Linked DNA regions of Rattus norvegicus. The main gene of each other region encodes a partner of the protein of the gene in region 2 in a complex. Links are inferred from orthologs where the notes say so. Each region holds a gene or a part of one and is shown on either strand. Other genes may lie near its edges.

Region 1 (9,932 bases), about 100 Mb from region 2:
AAGCACTCAGCTCTCAGATTCAGTCTCCCAGGCCCTTTGTAGATTCACTGAGAGAGGCTGACCCTACTTTGGACAGAATGGTCAAGTCTTGGAGGACAGTAGGAGTGGTAGGTGGAGGTATATTTGCTGGGCTCAGCTCCTGGTGGAAGTGTAGGAAAGGTCTTTCCCTGTACCTCCTCAGGAAAGCATATCAGGGTAAGGCAGGGATATCCACAACAGTTTGTTTGTTTTGTTTAGCTTGCAGAAAAGTCTTAGAAAATGGAGTCTAAAGAGAGGCTATGGTACAATTTGGCTTAACACTGAGAATGGTACAGATAAGAATATACCATCCAGGGAGAGGTTGAAGCAGAAGGGTTGGGGCCAGCCTGCTTTAAAGAGTAAGACCCTGGGAGCTGGAGACACTGCTCAGTAGTTAAGAGCCCTGGCTGCTCTTCCAGAATCAATTCAATTCCCAGCCATCATATGTTGGTTCACGACCATTTATAATGGAATCTGATGCCCTCTTCTGGCAGATGCACTCATACACATGATATCACCACAGTCTAGGATTGTGTCCATCCTTCATAAGAGAACCTTCTCATTACAGTGGGTAGAATCCTGTAACTGGCCCAAGAGCAAAGAATAAGCGATGCTGGAGCCGTCTCTGTCACCCTCTCCAAGGCTCAAGGGACATCTCCCAAGGTGGTGTACAAAGAACGAATGCCCGAAAATGGAGTTGTACAGCAAAATATGTCTCTGAGCAAGACATAGCCATTCCACCTGTGAACTCACTGCACAAGACCACCACAAAAGTGGTCCCGGTAACATTTCATCATAGGTGTGGGAGGGGCCCGGTGCCCCTCCCCCACTATTAGCAATTTACCTCTAGGGGAAGGGGGGTCATATATTTAGTGATAAATTGTTCTTGTTCCAGCTGGGTCAAGAAGCTAAAACTAAGAAATAGCTCAGTAGTCAGGGGCTCTGACTGCTCTTCCTAGAGGACTGGGGTTCAAATCCCAACACCCACATGGCAGCTCACAACTGTAACTCCAAAATTTGACACCCTCATACAGATATGTGTGTAGATCATGCACTAATACACATAAAAGTAATTTTTTAAAGATTTATTTATTTATTATATATAAGTACACTGTAGCGCTCTTCAGACACATCAGAAGAGTACAGATGGTTGTGAGCCACCATGTGGTTGCTGGGATTTGAACTCAGGACCTTTGGAAGAGCAGTCAGTGCTCTTAACCACTGAGCCATCTCTCCAGCCCCAAGTAATTTTTTTAAAAACACCAAAACCAACAAAAATTTTAAATAGAAACTAGTTAAACTCAGGGGGATACTGAGAAGACGAAAGTAGGAGGGAGGCTGGCTGAGAAGGGTTCCAACAAGGGGGAAAGAAAATGACAGGAGAGACTGGGCATGAAAATCACCAGTCAAAATGAAAGCCGAAAGCTACACTGTCTAAATGCCCAAAACTGCCAATTTAAAAGTATTCAAACACTGGAAGGAAATAAAAACCTTGGAAAGGAAATCATCGGGGTCACTTTTCATTAGAAAACATGCCATGACTACTGTTCAGGAAGAAACTCAGTGTGGTGTGCACTCCTAGGAAGCAGACCCAGAGAGCTGTGTTAACTTCCACAGCCCTGGATTCCCTCCACTCACGGACATGACCTGTAGGTCCCTGTTTCTCGTCTAAACCTTTTGTGTGGGGCAGAGTGCCCTGGTCATTGCCGGAAACAGCCCCACCCACCCCCCAGAAATGCTCTCTCCTCATAGTTTTCCCTTCCCTGGAACTCACTATGGAGACTAGGTTAACCTCAAACTCACAGAGATCCACCTGTCTCTGTCCACCCAAATGCTGGGATTATGGGAGCCACCACTCCTGGCCAGACCTTTGAAATGGGCTGTGACACTCAGGAAGATCCCAAGGACCACCTCTCCCAAATGAATGTACATGTGGAATGGACGGTTCTGGCTCCTTCCCTCCCTCAAGTGAAGCTATCCATCTTGGGCAAGGAGCTGGAGATCTCTAGCGAAGACCTCTCTCTTCCCCCTTGGCTACAATGGGAACTTTCCAGCGGCTAGCCACCCGGAAACCGCAGCTGGGCTCTCACACCCATGGCACGTGTTCTTCCCACCGCCGTGTTTCCTCCCACCACCGTAAGACTCCGGAATTCGAAAGTGCTACTTTAATTAGAGGAGGAAAGGGGAGTGGCTTGGGGCGGAGAGTCCGGGCGCTGAGCTAGACGTAAGTGTTGTCTGCGACTGCGCCAAGGCGGAGACTCTTCTTCTGGTCAGGGTCATCATCATCATCGCTCCCCTCACTTCCCGAGGCACTGGCGCTGTCCACGTCGGCGGTGGGTTCGTTGAGAACCACCACATCAGCCTCTGCCCCGATGTCCTTGCCGAACCACACAGCCTTGTAGCCGCCCTCCCCCTCCGGCCGCCGCTCCTTAGTCAGGATAGACCTCACGGCTGAAGGACTGTCCCCTGCCTGGACTGTCTTGGGAGACCCGGAAGCTTTGGGCTGAGGGCTAGGAGGCATGGAGCTGGGGGGCGTGGGACTGGAAGACATGGGACTAGGAGGCCGGAGGGGCGGCTGGACAGGCTCAGGGCCCGGCTCTGGCTTCCGGTTGGAGGTGGGTGACCACTTGGCCTTGTTGTCTGGGAGGAAGGTCAGGTTGTCATAGCCACTTGGCTGTGGCTCCTAAGGGTGGAGTAAGGACAAAGGCATCAGCAGCAATGATATGACTCCCACAAGTGCCTTCTGAACCCTTCTCCCACGGCTTGGCTCCCACTCTTCCCCTGAACCCCACCCCTACCACTTGGTGTCAGAACACCCATCCTGGCCTACCTCTGATTCTTTCCCTCATAAAGCCCTGTTTTCCCCAGCTGTTCCCACTCATCCCTCCATGTCCCTTTTCTGTGACTCCTCAGCCCTATTAGTCTGCTTTCTACTTTACCTCACCCAGTACCCAACCAGAGACCCTTACCTTTGCCTTGCCAGAGCAGCAAGTGAACCGATGTCGGTAGTGCTTATGGATGAGGATGATCAAGAAGATGAGGGCCAGCAACAGCAGTGCCCCTAGCACCCCGCCCAACACTGCCATGTCCACCGTGGAAAATCTCTGGCCATCACCCAGCTCGCCTACTCCTGGTATCCAAGAGACCATGGCCACTTACCGTAGGAACACTCCTAAGAACTTCCCTTCCCACCCTGGGCCAGGCTGAGGTACCATAAGAACAAGACGGGCCTCTCCTGGCCCACCATCTAGACTTGAGGTTCTGAGAATGGGTGCTATTACCTCCAGCAGGGAGCCTGCCTGGGGGATACCACAGCCCCTGGTAACATGACCACCGACCTCTGATTCACCAGGATGGCCTCCAAGGGCACACTGCAAACAGTTATGGTGACCTCTGACTTATGTGCCATCAACCACAATTTTGAATACACATTGTACTTAGACCAGAGCAGGGCTCAGTGACACTTGCAGAAGTTAGTCATGGAGAGCTGCCTCTGGTGATCACTTCCATGGGACAGCTAGCTGTGCCTGGCCCCTTGTCACCCTGTACACTCCGAGGTTCAGTGGGTACAGCTGAGTGACCAGTTAAAGACCTTTCGGTAGGAACCTCTTGTGTGTGCGTGTGTTAAGTTTATTTATGTGTGTATTTGTGTCGGTGCTGCATGTCATGGTGCATGTCGTGGTCAGAGGAAAACTTGCAGAAGCCAGTTTTCTGCATTTGTAGGACCCAGGGATCTGACTCAGGTTGTCGGACAAGTCGCTGAGCCATCTTGCCAGTCCGCGTCTTACTCTGTAAGTCAGGGTCTCTCGCTGGCCTGCAGCTGGCCTTGTAGCTGGCTAAGCCGCCTGGCCAGCAATCCCCAGGGTTTTCTGTCTCTGATTTCCCAACACATCCCAATGCTCAGCTGCATAAGGTGGCTTCTGGGGACCAAATTTACGTCCTCGTGCTTGGAAGGCAAATACTTTACCAAGTATGTCATCTCCCCAGCCCTGGATTTTTTGTTTTTGTTTTTGTTTTAGCAGAATTGCCTCAGTATGTTGCCCAGGCTAGCCCTGAATTCCTAGGCTTAAGTGGTCCTCCTGCCTAAGTGTCTCCAGTATCACAGGCATGTATCAATACATCCAGCCATAAATTTTTAAGACATATTCTCTCTCTCTCTCTCTCTCTCTCTCTCTCTCTCTCTCTCTCTCTCTCTCTCTCTCTCTCTGTAGCTGGGTGAAATTCTGTAGACCTGGCTAGACCAGACTTAAACTCACAGAGGTGTGCCTTTCACTACCTCCCTAATGCTGGGATTAAAGGGATTTGTTAGCACACTCTGACAGCCATAACATTCATTTTTTTTTATCTTGTTTCTCCCTACTTATTGGAATAGTGCCCTTACCTAACCTAAGACCCTAAATACAGATTGTCCTGGGAATTATGGGACTCACTGGCTTTAAAATCTGCTTCTGTATCCCTGTACCTTCTTCAGTTCACCTATTATGACCTCTTGGTGCCCTCTGTCTAGAGCTAGACACAGACTCCATAGTCAGTGTGGTCAGGCCAGACTAGCCCGGGTGGACCCTTTTCTAGAGCACATCCTAGAACCCCTGTCTGAGTTAAGGGTGACAGTGACTCCAGAGCAACGTGTTAGACTACCTGATATGGGCCCAGTGGTTGTCGGCTGAGAGGTTCCTGGCTTGGGGGTCTGTGTTGAGCCACTAGGTGTGGCTGGCTGAGAAGAGGTGCTGGCCCCTGGAGTGGGGACCATTGGCTGAGAGGTTCCTGGCCTGGGGGTCTGGGTTGAGCTGCCACTAGGTGTGGCTGGCTGAGAAGAGGTGCTAGCCCCTGGAGTGGGGACCATTGGCTGAGAGGTTCCTGGTTTGGGGGTCTGGGTTGAGCTGCCACTAGGTGTGGCTGGCTGAGAAGAGGTGCTAGCCCCTGGAGTGGGGACCATTGGCTGAGAGGTACCTGGTTTGGGGGTCTGTGTTGCATCCCCACCAGGAGTAGCTGTCTGGGGAGAGGTGCTGATTCCAAGAGTAGGGGACCCCCCAGGTACAGTTGGGGCAGAGGTGAGTGGGCTTAGAGTTGTGCCTGCAGGTGGGAATGGGCCAGCACTTCCCCCAGAGCTGGTTGTGGCAGGTCCTTGAGAGGTCCCAGAGGTCGAGGGGGTTTCCAAAGTGGTGTTACTTGAAGGCCCAGTTGTTCCTCCAGCTTCTGGGGGTGTGGGGGACTCTGGTGGTGGCATGTACAGAACTCGGGTTTGCCTCTGTCCCCAGATATGCCTGTCCCAGAGGAGGAGCCACCCTGCCTGGGGATCTGGGGGTGCTCACCTGTGGAGGGCGGCTCTCGCTCTGACACCTGGATCTCCACAATAGTGGTGGCTATGTCTTTAGTCACAGTATTGTTAGCTTCTACCTGGGTCAGGAAAGGGACTTGTTCTCTTGGGTCCCTTTTTACCCCCACACCTTACTCCCCTTATCCCCACTCCACCTCTATGCGGATTGTTCTTTCTGTCTCCATAGGCACAGTGGTCAGCAAGATATCCTTATTCATGATGAATTCTGAGGAGTTGGTGACTTGATATGTGACAGCCGAGTTGAGGTCCTAGATGAGACTCCAGTGAGACCTAGGCCTGGTACTCTATAGTCCATCCCAAGTAGTCTACACAGAGAGAGGAGGCCAGAGGGTCCAGGTATACTTATAGGGTTCGTAGGTAAACAGGAAGGGACTGCATACCGGGAAGCCTAGGTACTGAGCCTGGATCCTCAGGATCTCTGAAGGGAAGGTCTTGTCCTTCACTGCTGTGCCAGCCTCAGAACCCAGTACCACCGTGCCAAAGTACAGGCTCTGAGAGAACTGGAGTGGGTTCCCAGTGACATCTCGAGCCTCCACAACGGCCTGAGTCACTGAGTATCGAGCCATGTCAGCCTGCTCAGCCTGAGGAGTCAGGGGAAGCGGGAGTGGGTATTGGGATTTAAGGCAGCTGGGGCCACAGCTGGGGCCACAGGGGACCCCTCTCTCATCCAGTGCTGGTACCCACCCTGACCACCAGGGTGAAGGTCATGGGGCTGGGGATACTTTTGGCCATCGTGAGGTTGCCATCGTCTTTGTTGATGATAAATGTGTCATCCGTGTTTCCTGGGAGAATTCGTGGTGGAGTTTGGTGTCTGGTCCCTCTGTTGTGGGGTCCAGGTGCTGTGGGGCTAAGCCGTTACTCACCCATCATAATGCTGTAGACGATAGGCTGGTTAATGGCCTGATCTCCGTCCACAGCATAGATGGGACCAGGACTCAAGATGAGAGGGGATGGCTGTAAGAATAGGAACATCTTGAGGTTTAAGAGCCCCAGCTCTTACTCTCTTGTTGTCCCTCAAGATCTGAAACATGGATTGGAGCCTGGAGGGAGGAGCAGTGCCTGCTTGGGACAGAGCTGCAGCCACAGCAGGACTCAGTGGCAACAAGAAGCTAAGAAGGAAATGTTGTAGCCCCAGTGTATGCCGCCTGCCCAGGGACACCACTGGCCTCAGGAGACTCAGCTGACCAAGGACTTAGCAGATCCTTATCAGCATCAGCCCAGCCCCTGAGCTCCTCACATCCCAGCCGACATGTACTCCTCACTGATTTTTGTCTGTATGCCCCACCCCCACCTGGCTGGGAAGGATACTTAATGATTGATTGGTGATTAATTGATTGATTAATTGTTCATTCAGGTTTGTTTCACAAATCACAGAATTGTCCACAAGCCTCTCCAGGAGTGCAGGACGGCGGCCAGATCCCTACCCTGAATATTTTCTGACTTGGCCTTAGATTCAAGTCTGACCCTGGGCCTCCTCACTTCCCATTACCAGTTTGTGTCCTGTGGGGATAACTGTGTGGTACTGGGCCTGAATGCAGAAGTAGTCATCCGTAAAGGAGCACGGCAGGAACCAGGGGGTCCGTAGGTCAGCTGGCAGCACGTTCAAGACCACGGTGGCAGTGGCCGTATGGCTGGGAATTACATTCTCTTCCCTAGTATCCTGTAGTAACAGCCAGCCCCTGATAGGTTAGGCCCAGCGTGGACAGGGCCTACAACATCCAGGACTCAGGAAGATGTGATCTGCCTACCCGTGCCAGCAGCCTGAAGGTCATGTTCGGACTCTTGTAGTAATCCAGAGTCTGGTCCAACTTCAGAGCAGGGGAGTTTATGCCCACCAGGGAGAAGAACTTGCTGGCATTCTGTGGGAAGGGAAGAAGGTTGGACTCTGGAAGGTGGATGAACTGAGGCCTGGAGGCATCAGAAAGGGTGGGGGTTGTCAGCAATGTGTGGGGATGGGGAAGCACTGACGGGGGTCACTTCCTGCAGAGTGTAGACTAGGATGTCATCTTTGTCAGCATCTGTAGCCTTCAGCTCTGTCTCAGGGATGACGATCGTATTCACTCTGGTGTCCTGGGGATGGAGAGGAAGAGGTTGGTCCAGCCATGCTGTAGCTTCTGTATATAGATCTCCCTGATGTTGTCTCCCAGAGACCCCTGTGTCCCCCTGCCTTCCCCATACTCAGACAGCACTGGTTCAGACTGGACTCACCTCCGATACATTATATTCCTTGATTGTAAAGGGGAATTCTGGTGCATTGTCATTGATGTCCAGGACAGCCACAAACACCCTGAACTGTGTCACCTGCAGCAAAGTCACCAGGGTCAGCCCCTGGCTGAGGAGAATGCTCTGATGCCCCCCATCATTCATTCCTTCCTCTTCTTATCTGTTCATTCATTCATTCATCCATTCAGTTAGTCAGTCATTCTTTGTCTTTCATTCCACAGACACTGGTGGCATCAACAATGTGATGGCCTAGGAGCTCCTGTTCTAGGAGGAATGCACTCAAACTGTAAAGACAAGTTTTAGAGTGTGGCCACGTGCATGTGGTGGGTGCGCTGAAGAGAGAGAATGACAATCCTGGGGGCACAACCAGCAAAATATCAAAGGGAGAAAAACAGCATCTCACGACTTCAAAAACAGGTCTCCAAAAGGATAGTGGGAAAAGGGCCTTCAGGTCGAAAGCAAACAGCTCATTCCCATGACAGCCCTTCCTGAGACCCAGGGAGACATGAACACAGCCAGGTGCTGGAGGACAGAGACGGAAAGCTGCTCTTCTCAGCTGTGACAGATGTCAAGGCCAGGGCTCTCTCTGTGCCTCTCTGTCTCTCTGTGTCTCTGTCTCTTTCTCTGTCTCTCTGTCTCTCTCTGTCTGTGTCTTTCTGTTTCTGTCTCTGTCTCTCTCTGTCTCTTGTGTGTCTGTGTGTCTGTGTGGGAAGTATATTTGTGTGTTGAAGGTGGAGCACAGGGCTTCAATCATACTAGGCAGGTATTTGTCCTGGCTGGTTTTGTGTGTCAACCTCACACAAGCTGGAGTTATCACAGAGAAAGGAGCCTCAGTTGAGGAAACGCCTCCATGAGATCCAGCTGTAAGGCATTTTCTCAACTAGTGATCAAGAGGGGAGGGCCCAGCCCATTGTGGATGGTGTTGTCCCTGGGATAGTGGTCCTGGGTTCTATAAGAAAGCAACCCAATGGGGCTGGAGGGATGGCTCAGTGGTTAAGAGCGCTGACTGCTCTTCCAGAGATCCTGAGTTCAATTCCCAGCAACCACATGGTGGCTCACAACCATCTGTAATGGGATCTGATGCCCTCTCTCTTCTGGTGTGTCTGAAGACAGCTACAGTGTACTCATACATAATAAATAAATAAATCTTAAGAAAAAAAAGAAAGCCAGTAACTAATATCCCTCCATGGCCTCTGCATCAGCTCCTTCTTCCTGACCTACTTGAGTTCCTGTCCTGACTTCCTTTGGTGATGAACAGCAATGTGGAAGTGTAAGCTGAATAACCCTTTCCTCACCAACTTGCTTCTTGGTCATAATATTGGTGCAGGAATAGAAACCCTGATTAAGACAGAAGTCTAACACTAAACTTTACCCAAAAAAGAATTTCGTTTTGTTTTTAATTATTATGATCTATTAGAGACATAGGCCAAGATGTGTGTGGGTAACATGTCGTGGTGCCCGGCAGGAGTGCAGGGTGTGAGAGTTGCTCACAGTGAAGCAGGAAGTGTGTGGGGCCTGTTACTTCTTCTAGTGTCCTTTAGTAAAAGGCTATTGATGGAGGATAAGATGTATGGGATAGGGTAGGGGACAGTATAAAGTAGGAGGGTTAGGCATCAAAATGAATTTGCACACCAGGTCAGTGTCTGCATACCACAGCCTTGCCCACCCACTTGTGCATTTGACTTTGACTTCCAGTAAGAAAATGTGGAAGTTTCTGTGAGGCTGCATGGGGTTGTGGCTATGAGCTTTCGGGATTCCCTGTGTAGAGAGGGAATAGAGGAGGGCCAAGGACAAGAACAGCAAGTGGATGTGCAAGAAGGGTCAGAAAGGAGAGCCACTGGCCAGGGCCCCATGGGACGGACTAGAGGTAGGAAGAGTAAATCCGACTCTAACTGAGGTACAGTCAACCGTGCCAACAGTGTTCCTTGGATGGGGTGACATCAGAAGTGGCTGGCAGGTGAAGGTGTCTCCCAGGTGAGGGGTGAGGGGCCTACTTAGGGTCTCAAGGTACTGACTTAATACTGGGCTCTACGTTAGCTGAGTTTGAGTCTGGAGCTCAGGGCAGAATCTAGGCTAAAAGAATCATGGAAGTGGCTAGGAGAGAGTTGATGTTCAGACTCCCTGGGGGTAAGGTCTTGGAGGAGTGGTCTTGGGGTACTCTGACAAAAGGCCCAGGTGGTCAGGTAATGGGGTTAACTTACCAAAGTATCTCCTCTCTTACACTCCAGGACTGCCTCCAGCAAAGAGTTTTCCTGAGGATAAAGCCAGGGGCCCTATGAGTCACTTGCCACATAGGGAACTATCCTCCTATAGGATAGGAGAGTACAGCTAGGAGAGCAGGGAGCGCTCCAGC
Region 2 (10,479 bases):
ACCCAGCTGGGTACCAACTTAGAACCTTTCACAGAAGATTACTCCAGGATCCCACTGTTAACTGATGAGAGGTAGGAAACGTATTTACCACCCCTGAGGGAGGGTGTAGCTCCACAGCATCTTTATCACACAACATTGTAACTGTCTGTGGGGTTAACATCTATATTAGGCAACACTGTAACTATCTGTGCGGCTAATCCTATGTTAGATTGCCATCTCCCAGAAAAAAGGGAGAGTTAAAATTTTACTTTTTTTTTTTGTTGTTGTTGTTGTTTTTTTATCTCATTTAGTTCAGACTAGGATCAAACACTATGTAGGTGAGGTTACTTAACTTTGGGTGCCTGGTCTTCCTGCCTCCATTTTTCAAGTGCTAGATTTACAGGCGTGCACCAGCACGCTCTGTCCATATAGTGCTAATGGCCTTGGTGTATGTTTGTCAAGCACTGAGCCAGCTAAGCTATATCCTCACACCCAAGGACAGACATTAAAAGCCATTTATGGAGACAGACGCGGTGGTCCACACCTTTAATTCTCAGCACTTGGAATGTAAAGTCCAGCAGATCTCTGTGAGTTTGAGGCCAGCCAGGGCTGCACAGTAAGGCCCTGTCTCAAAAGCAAATCAAATCAAATCAAAGCAAAACAAAACAATTTCTGGGGATGGAAAGATGGCTTATCAGTTAAGAGCAATTGATACTCATGAAGAGAAGTCCAGTGTTTGGTTCCCAGCACCCATATTGGGCAGCCCACAACCACCTGTAACTCCAGAGGATCCAGCGCCCTCTATTGGCCCCAGTGAGCACCCACAATCAAGTGCATACACACACACACAGACACACACACACACATAAAAATTTTAAAATTAAAAAATATATTGTAAAAAGTGTTAGATAAATGCAAATAAATAAGAACAACTTAATTAATAATAACTAAAATTTATCAGCTGCTTACTACTTGCTGGGTCTAGAACATGCAATGCTGTTTTTTGTTTTTTGTTTTTTCTTTCAATAACAGCACTGTGACTTACTATTATGCCTCCTGCGTATTTGTAGAGGAAGAGACTGGGGCTCAGAGTGGCCTGAGGCTCAGTCACTGCCCCAGGTCTGAGGGCTGACACATGGTCTGGTGGGGGTGGAACAGGTATCCCAGCAACTGTAGCACCTGCATCTCAACCACTACACACAGCCCGAAGCGCCTATGCGCGGTTGTTCATTGCTTTATTTTATGAGTCAGGGTCTAGCGACCCAAGGCTAGCCTCAGAGCTCTCTGATGGTGCTAGTTATGGGCTTTGCTGGCCCCTCTTATGGGAAGGTTTCCAGAACCACTGGTGACAAGAGAACTATGGCAGATGCCTAGTATTTTTGAATGATGAAAGGGAGTGGAGTTCTATCTCTGGCTCTCAAATTCTGCATCATCATCAGTGCACAAGACCCATAGCCAGTGGACAAGAATCCTCAGGAGCAGTGGCGAGGAAAGGGAGAGAAAGTGCTGGGGAGCCCGAGGTCCACAGGATGTCACTGAGTCCAGGGCATGCCACCCACCTAAAGCCTGGTGATTGAGCCAAGCATGCCTGCTACCTACCTGCAGCCCAGGCCCCGAGAACCTACTAGACTGATAAACACCTTCTTCTCCTTGGTTGTTCGATTGCCAGGTGAGCTCAAGCCACCTCGAACACCCTGAGGGAGGGACAGGATCAGGTTACTGGGTTTACATGCATTCAAGTGGCCTTTTGAGCTTGAGACCTCCAGATTAAGTACCGGACATTCACAGAGACTGGAGACACCATATCCTTGGGGTGTGGGTCTGAAGGCCTACCATGCCATGGGGGGTGTGCCAGGTACCCTAGCGGCCTATGGGAAATCCTAGGTTATACTCCCCAGAGCCATCCCTCCTCCAAGGCCAGCTGCCCAACCCCTATGGCAGGTTGGCAGGTAGTCTCTTACTCCAGATTCCGACACGAACTGATCCACATACTGCCACTTGAGGGGCTCCTCGGGGGAGCTGAGGAGAAAGCAACGGAGAAGGTGGAGCCAGTAAGCACACTTGAGGGAGCTGGGATCTGTGTCACTTGGCCACCTCAGCCCAAGAGCAATGCTAGTTCATGGCCTGGGGGCGGGGCAGACCGCAGGACTCTTGGCCTGCAGGAGACTCACAGATAGGCCTGCTTACCTCTTCACAGGGATCAGGCCGATGTCTGTGGGGAAGATACAGTAGGTTAGATAAGCTCCTAGGCCCTTGGGGTTGGGACCACCTCCCATCTACCCCCCATCACAAAGTGCCACTCCTATCTGGCCTCACTCACGTCTCACTTTGATGGACACAGTCTTCTTGGTGCGGATCAGGTTGATGACTTCCTCGTGGGTGCAGGAGGAGATGGAATAGCCGTTGATCCGGACAATCTCGTCCCCTACCTGGACACAGAGAGATGTGACAGGCATGGGGGAGAGTGCCAAGCGGGGGGGCAGGCCCACTAGCAGATGTTCCCAACCCCAGAAGGGGCTGTCACCAAGCAAGAGCTTTAATCTGTGCTCTAGCACGGTGTCGCAGCCGAACTACCCTCTGGTAGTGGAAGGCCACAGTTTTCAGTTTCAGGATGGAGAAAGCAAGATCTGGGCTGGGGAGAAGCATGCAGTTGGTGAGAAACAGAACTGAGGCAAGATTTAGAACTCTGTCCCCATCTCTTGGTACCTCGGTCACCCCACCGAGGGGCAATCAGGTTCTGGAATCCAACATCCCCATCTGGTCTTCGCTCCTCCCTGTCCTAGAAGCAGGCCTTTGTCTCTATCTGTTACCTACACCCGCGGTGAGCCAAAATGGGGACCCATGACCCTTGACCCAAGCTCACAGCACTAACATAAGAGTAATCCCATCCCATGGAAACTCAATGACGTTAAACCAACTTCTGAATCTTGATTCTGGGAGCAGGCAAAGGAAAGGGAACGAACACAGGGCGCTATGCTTTGGTTCTCCCAGGCTCGAATCCTTTTAAAATTCCTATTATTTTACGGCAGGAGTCAAGTCTCTTGGATTCTGTAAACCGTAGTTTCTTTCATATAAAACAGGGAATACCATGGAGTTAATGAGGGTTAAACAAACATATGTGTAAGTGTGTAAGGCCAGCCAGTACGGGGCCCACAGCAGGTTCTTAATAAACAGTTGTTATTATTAGAGGCCTTCAAAGAGGCAGCGCATGATGAGACTGCCCCCTGCTGGTCCTCACTGCTACCTCCACCAAAAAGTCAAAGGATCCTTGGCTATCAACATCTCCTGAGAGAAGACCGGGTGCTGAGGTAGGAATGGGCAAGAGACAGGATAGGGATGTGAGACAATGGTGTATTGCCCAAGGACATGAAGGCAGTGGCTGCCACGAGGGAAACGAGCTCAGGTGTCATGCAGGCTGAGGTTGTGACTCCCTGATACCCCATTACTGGTCTCTTGGAGAAAGGTTGGTATACGTGGGGGCCTCAGGGTAGACTCTGAGGGCACACGGTCTCCAGGTCAGTTCCCAGCCTATAATCTACAGTTACCTCTCATTACCACCAGGAAAGGGCGTGCCACTCTGAACGGCCACCTTCTCAGTGTCCCGATAGTGGGGCTCACTAAAGAACCTGCAGCAATCCTGGGGACACCGACTTTCAATAGAACATCTGGATAGCTCCCTGCACCTAATTTTTTACAACTCCAAAGGGCAGGAACTCGTGTTCCTGCTCTGCATAGAACCCGCCAAAAGGTCTTTATGTGGGACCACAGTGAAGAGACAGGGGATCAGGGAGGCGAAGTGATTTGTTCAAAGCCACTCAGTGAGTGAGGAGGCTGCTGGGATGTCGTCAGGACTCCAGGACAGACAACACACGTCGGCTTTCAGGTGTCTGGGAAAGGAGGCTAGGTGGCCAAGCCTGGGTGCAGTTCCTTGCGTGTTGCCTGCTGTGGAGTCCTGCCTTTTGTTCAGAGCCCTGGAGTCCCACAGAAGGCAGGGATTACTCTGTACGTCTTACAGCAGGGAGAGGGAAGGCAGGCAGAACCATTTTCTCCATAAGTAAACAGCCAGTTACATGCTTACATCAGTAAAGGACACAGTTAAACATAAGGAAGGTATGAAGAATCCTTAAGTATCCAGGAAGGGACAGGAGCCGTGTGGCTGAAGTCCCAGGACTAGGACCTGTTGGAGGGTTCAAGCCCCTGCAGGGCCCCCTGCGTCTCAGGGCAAATCCCTCTTGACTTCTAGAATCTTCTCTGTGCTGTCCCCCAGCACGAGAAACTTGATGGCTTGGTCAGTGGATGAAGGTGATTTTCTCCTAGCTCCTCCTGAGTGGAGTTCCCTGTATTGCTACCACAGGAACTTCCCAGGGACCCTAGTCGGAGTGATTCCCCCATGGCCCCTGGATAGGGTTGCAGGATCAACTTCCCTCTACTCCTTGCTCTACACAGAACCCTGCAAAAGAGTCTTTGTATGGAGCTCATAGTAACATGACAATCTGAGGGACAAAGAAAAGATGGGCCCCACAGCCCCGGAAAGGGGAGCGCTATTTCATAAGCCTGAGAAGCAGGTGGGAAGTTGGATGCCTGGGTTTCCTGAGCGTGCCCTGATGCCCTCCTTCATGAGGCTCTGCAGGGAAGCGCTTGTCCTCAGAGGAGTGCTTGTGCTGGAAAAAAGGGGGGCCCAGCCGTCCCTAAAGGGGGAACTCATTATGTTCTCTCCTCTGGCCGTGTTTCTGGGCTGGAAAATGTGCCACGGAGGGAAAGAACAATGAGAGGGCTGAAATTTCAGATGCCACCCGGAGCCCTGAGACACGGATTGCGAACAAAGCCTTGACTGTCAGCTTGCTGTCCCCACCCCCTCCTCCTTGGTCTCGCACCATTAGCCCTAGAGCCCCCTGAAGCCCCTGGCTCGTCCCCCGGTGGGGATGTTGATAGCAAAATCTCTGGAACTTTCTCTACCTGGATAGACAAAAACAGCCTTTAGTCCTGGAGGCCTGCCTACCTCTGCTTAGACAGGGACGTGGGGAGGAACTGCAGGGGAGAAGCCTGGGGTGCTGACTTGGCTCCAGGAGACCCAAGTTCAAAGCCTGGCTCTGCTGCTCATTGGCCCCTGCCCTTCTGTGAACACTCTAGAGTGGGGCTGACTCGTGTGATGTGTACTGACTCGTTGGAGGTGGTCATCAGGTCCCCGCTCTGTATGGATCTGTCAGTCTCACAGCCCTGGTGTATCAAGAAGCTGTGGTGACTGTCTCATTTACACCCCTGCTTTTCCAACAGCCTGATACGGCTTTACAGAGGGGGGAAAGTGAGGTCCAAGGCCAGGAGTAGAATGGGATGGTCCAGAGGCAGTGTCTGTCTTCATAGACATCAGTGCATTAGACTAAAAGGTGGCCGTACCAAGCTGCGGGTGCCCGCCTTAACCCTGCTCCTCCTTCAGGAAGTAGGAGGTTTGGGGAGGGGCTCAGTAGCAGTATCAAGAAGCAGCAGTCAGGCTCTTGACTTGACTCAAGAAAGCAGGCAAGGGCCGGATAGAGATTAGTGGTGGAATGTTTATGTGTGAGGGTAGACACAGATACATAGACACACGGACACACTCAGTTTAGTGGTGGAGTGCTTGCCTGGTATGCATGAACACACACAAACACACACACACAACATACACACACACACAGAGAGAGAGAGAGAGAGAGAGAGAGAGCATTTTCTGTATTCTGAAGGATTCCAAACACTCCCTTCCTTCCTCAAAGGCTTAAGAAAATGTGTGTCCACATTGTAACACAGAGTGGATCAGGAGGAGACAGGGCATTTGAGGCCCTGGCCCCATTCTACTGGCTCTGTTGACTTACCTGCAGCCCAACGCTGTCTGCCTGGCCACCTTTGATGAGATGGGAGATGAAGAGCCCACAGCCAAATTCCAGGCCTCCACGCACGCTGAGGCCAAGGCCCTCTGGGTGCAGACGGTCCAAACGCACCTCCTTCAGTTTCCTGTTACAGTCATGGGGGGGTTGGTTATGGTCCAGCTCAGGCTAACCCTGTGTTCCCAGGCTGGCCCCTCCCAGGCCTGGCCTCTGACTTGGGGACTGGATGCACCTGGAGCGTCGGGGTGTCAGCTGGTCATACTCCACCTGGTGCTTCAGTGGGATCAGGGGCCGGATGGCGTCGAAGAGTGGCAGGCGGTTGGGCTCATTGATGACCAGCTTCAGGTCTCCCACGAGCACAGCCACGTCCATGGTCCTTTAGAGATGTCAGAGGTTGGGTGAGTGGCTATGACCTTTGTCCCACCCCTGCACTGCTGGGCCTTAGCAGAGTTTATAAACAGGCACTGAAAATCTAAAGCAAGTTGGGTGACCAGAGACCAACAGATGTAGTGGCATGGGGACAGCTACTTCTTGTTCTCTCTGAATATTCATATCCTCTTGAACCTATCTGGGTAGCTGCCCTATCAGACTGGGAGCATCCCGAGGACACAGACCAGTCCTTCTTGCTCACAGTATACCCTGAACCCCAGTCCAGAGCCAAGTAGGAACTGTTCATGTAAACGCACACAGAAGATGCGAGCAAGTAAGAGCAGCTTATATGTGCGTCCTCAGGAGCACGGAGCACGTGCTGTCTTAGGACATTACCCACTCTGGGTTCCCATGGCACAGATGGCCTGCCTGGGCTTGGCGACGCAGACACACACTTACTGGTGATACATCCGCAGCACGTCATAAAGATAGTCCTTCTCCGCGTCATTTTCAATGAGAAAATCCACCTGGAAATTCCAAGGAGCAGAATTAGAGCTGCAGGTCCCCTGTGCACCCAGCATGCTCACATCCATGAATAACCCAGAAGCATCTTATCCCCAGACAAGGTGATAGAGGCACACACAGGTTGAACGCAGATGTGCACACATGGACCCCCGCTCAACAATGGCATACTCCCATGTCACTGCTGTCACACTCACGGCTGTGTCACCAGTGTCGGGACGAAGCCTACAGTCTCACCTGATGGTGGCTGTAGTGGCGGATAAATGCTTTGAGGAAGGATTTGGGCCACTCACTCAGATAACACATCCCACCTAGCAGAAGCACCTTATTGTCAAATCTCTCTGTGCTGCCCATGCACTTGGCCCTGTCCTGACCTGGGGTTCTGTCCACTATTCAGCCTCCAGGCCACTCCTCTATCCCCAGTGTCCCCCCCAGGGGGAGGATTAGGTTACAGCATTCTGGCTTTTGCTGACGTCAATAGCTAGGGCTCCAAGGTCATGTACAGGAGCTGTTTCAGTAGCACCTCTGTTCCTGGGGAGCTGGGGAGCTGGAGAGCTGGGGAGCTGGGCTGGGGAGCTGGGAGTCCCAAATTCTGTACTTCGGAAAGAAAGTTCAGGGCAACACTCCAAGGGCTGCATCCCTGGCTTTCTCTTTAGCCCAAGACTAGACATCAAGGCAAGGCAGGGCTCATTACCATTGTAGTCCCAGTCTCTGCCCTTCACAGGAGAAACTGTGATCTCCTGCCTTCCTAGAGCTTGGGGCAGGACGATGCCTTCTCAACCGGTGTCTTAAGGACTTTAGAAGACTCCAGAGAGTCTGTCTGCCCCAGTGTAGAGAGGACTGTGAGGCCTAGCCCTTGGGACTTTGGACCTGGGCAGATTCCCAGTTTCGATTTGGAAGTCTTCTTTCTCCTATGACTGCATTTGACTGAGGACAGGAGGAACCCAGAAGGTTGTGCCCCAGGCTGAGCTCCAAGGGTTCAAAGAGTGTGTGACAGTGACTGTGGAAGCTCCCCCAGCTGCACCCTCTGTCCTTACTGTGGAAGCTCCCAACAGCTAAGAGATGGGGAAAGGGCATCATAGATGGTGCTAAATCACTAGGACCAGCACCAGAAAAGCTTCATATATAAATCATGTCAGTTGCGTGCCTCATGGCTTCTTGATGCATGTAAAGATCCAAGCCAAGGGGTGGAGATGTAGCTCAGTGTCGGAGAGCTTAGCTGTCACTCAAGAGGCTCTAGGGTAACCGTCATCTTGGGGAAAAGAGTCCCACAAAACCCCTTCTCGATTCACTCAAGTCCTTGTCCTGGGCTGCCACTCTCCGGCTGTGTACACCCCTTTTAGCTTCTCGTATGAGCCAGACTGCCCACAGCCCCAGACTTAGGGTTACGCTGCATCCCCCTTTACTTGCACAGTGGCTTCTTTCCCATGGAAAGCTTCTCTAATAGCCAACCTACTCCCACCTCTGAGCAATACCTGATCTCCTGGGAAATTACTAATCGTTGTTAACGTAAGGGCCATAACCTTTTGGAATTTGTCTTAATGAAGGAAAGAAAGGTGCAGATCAGCTCCAGTCTGCAGTCCTCATGACTAACTGAGAGTAAATACTCAATAAATAAGTCTTGAGTGGATTTATCAGTTCTCTGCTTCTAGGCCTGGCCATGTTCTTCAGGAATGAGAGCCATGGGGTCAGAGGGGGATGGGAAATGACTCTCGCTCCGCTCCCAGGAGCTCCTAGTGACATTCGTTCAAAGCATCAGCCCCGTCTGACCCTTATTCTCATACCACAACCAGGGAGTATGGCAGAAGTGACCCAAGGCCACAGCCACCAAGCAGAGCAGAGCAAGATTCCAAGCCTACTTTCTCGCTGTTGTGCCACGTCTGGTAGGGCTTTGGCCTTCGAGACAAAGAACACCCAAGTCCCCTTTGGAACCTAACATCCAAGTCTCTAATCCTTACCTCTTTCCTCTCCACTGGTGTGCGTGCGTGTGTGTGTGTGTGCGTGTGCGTGTTATTAAGACAAGGCCTTACTATGTAGCCCTGGCTGTCCTGGAACTTAATGTTTCAGAAATCTGCCTGCCTCTGTTTTCTGGGTTCTGGGATTAAGTTGTGCACCACTATACCTAACTTTTTGCAGTTATGGAAGCTTGGTAAGGGGCAGGGGGTGAGCTCAGAGGTAAAGTGTTTCCCGGCATACATGAGACTCTAAGATTGATACCCAGGATGCCCACTCCCTACACACACACAGTTACCAATTCACTTGGTCCATAATGAGGAAGAAAGAGGAACATCTTTTAAGAGACGCTCAGAATCCTGGTGGTTCTGTTTCTGTTCTTCAGTGGAAGTATAACACCCTGTCTTTTAAGCTGAAGAGAACATTGTGTCTGATTCTAGCCATGGGTGGGGACTGGAGAAGGACAGGAGAGGGGCTGAGCTGTGGAGAATTGCACGCATCGGCTACGTGTTTAGGTTTAAGCAGAAAGAGGCTACCCTCACGGGTAACATTAATATGCACTGACTGAAGATTAGAATGTCAGGGGAGGAACCTGGAGAGGACTTGGCAACTTTAGGGTTCAGGAGTCTATCTTTCTGCCTTCTTAGAGTCAAGCACAGGCACCCTGAGATGGTCTTCCTAGAAAGCAGCCTTGTTCCTGGGGCCCGGGACTCAGGAACAGCTCTTAAATGTTGAATGCTGCATTCTGGGCCCCACCTATAAACCACACCCGACCTGTCCATTTCAGAGGGAGCCTGCAGGCCCAGTTCTGCATGGCCAGGAAGCTCACACCAACCCTACCCAGGCTTATCCACTTCTGCAGGGACATCTCCATGTCCTGCATATCCTCAGGCTATAACTAGACTAGCATTTCCCTGGACACAACAGACCCTTCCCTGATGATGCCACCTCCACCTCTCCCACCCCAGCTTTGTATTTTTGTTGTTTGGTTTTGTTTTGTTTGAGACAGGGTTTCTCTGTATAGCCCTGGCCGTTCTGGAACTCACTTTGTAGAGCAGGCTGACCTCCAACTCACAGAGATCCATCGTTTTGCGTCTGCCTCCAGAGTGCCGGGATGAAAGGCGTGTGCCATCACCCAGCAGGCACATCCTCTCTTGTAATGTCTAACTCGCCCTTTCAGAATCACATTCCAAGGAGGCAGTGTTGCTTGGACTGCTCTGAGGTTGGAATGTGAAGGCGAATGACGGGGGGCTTCAGAAATAGAGGGACCACGCACACCCCAGAAACGTCTCCAAGGAGACGCGAGGACACATTTGTTCCCTCATTCTGCAGACTTCCAAAGTCACAAAGGAAAAAGAAATATGGAAGCCTCTGGAAGTCTGGCTGTGAGTTAACAGTGCCACCATCACTCAAGCTGCCCTTAAGGATGTTTCCATGGGGCTGGAGAGATGGCTCAGTGGTTAAGAGCACTGGGTGTTCTTCCAGAGGACCTGAGTTCAATTCCCAGCACTCACATGGCAGCTCAGACCTGTTTGTAATTCCAGTTCCAGGGAATCTGGTGCCCTCACACAGACATGCAGGTAAAACACAAATGCATGTGAGATAAAAATAATATAAAATAAAACCACGTTTTTCAAATTCTATAGACTTGTCTTCTCCTGGTATTCTCCCTAATGCTACTCCAAAAATTAGGTTTATGAGGCCCTGCTCCAGGCACTGGGAACCATTCTAGGAATATAAGAAATACCCAGCACATAGTAGGTCTTGACATTTCATTTCCTTCCTCTTCTGTCCCTGTCTA

What was found.
Region 1: Ush1c (region 2) and Cdhr5 share a complex: the UniProt entries of both Homo sapiens proteins name them as parts of the IMAC/intermicrovillar adhesion complex. The link is inferred for Rattus norvegicus from reciprocal best matches to the Homo sapiens genes USH1C and CDHR5.

The regions. Positions count from the first base shown.
Region 1 is NC_086019.1:205,800,518-205,810,449, forward strand, and holds the end of Cdhr5 (cadherin-related family member 5 precursor), read right to left. Parts: intron 9,832-9,932; coding exon 9,781-9,831; intron 7,658-9,780; coding exon 7,565-7,657; intron 7,427-7,564; coding exon 7,325-7,426; intron 7,216-7,324; coding exon 7,105-7,215; intron 7,017-7,104; coding exon 6,846-7,016; intron 6,311-6,845; coding exon 6,220-6,310; intron 6,139-6,219; coding exon 6,041-6,138; intron 5,938-6,040; coding exon 5,737-5,937; intron 5,605-5,736; coding exon 5,491-5,604; intron 5,416-5,490; coding exon 5,331-5,415; intron 5,233-5,330; coding exon 4,657-5,232; intron 3,149-4,656; coding exon 2,988-3,148; intron 2,702-2,987; coding exon 2,237-2,701; 3' UTR 2,169-2,236; downstream 1-2,168. UniProt on the Homo sapiens protein: Intermicrovillar adhesion molecule that forms, via its extracellular domain, calcium-dependent heterophilic complexes with CDHR2 on adjacent microvilli. Thereby, controls the packing of microvilli at the apical membrane of epithelial cells.
Region 2 is NC_086019.1:105,860,340-105,870,818, forward strand, and holds part of Ush1c (harmonin), read right to left. Parts: intron 6,731-10,479; coding exon 6,663-6,730; intron 6,211-6,662; coding exon 6,067-6,210; intron 5,962-6,066; coding exon 5,823-5,961; intron 2,409-5,822; coding exon 2,300-2,408; intron 2,192-2,299; coding exon 2,167-2,191; intron 1,999-2,166; coding exon 1,941-1,998; intron 1,674-1,940; coding exon 1,579-1,673; intron 1-1,578. UniProt on the Homo sapiens protein: Anchoring/scaffolding protein that is a part of the functional network formed by USH1C, USH1G, CDH23 and MYO7A that mediates mechanotransduction in cochlear hair cells. Required for normal development and maintenance of cochlear hair cell bundles.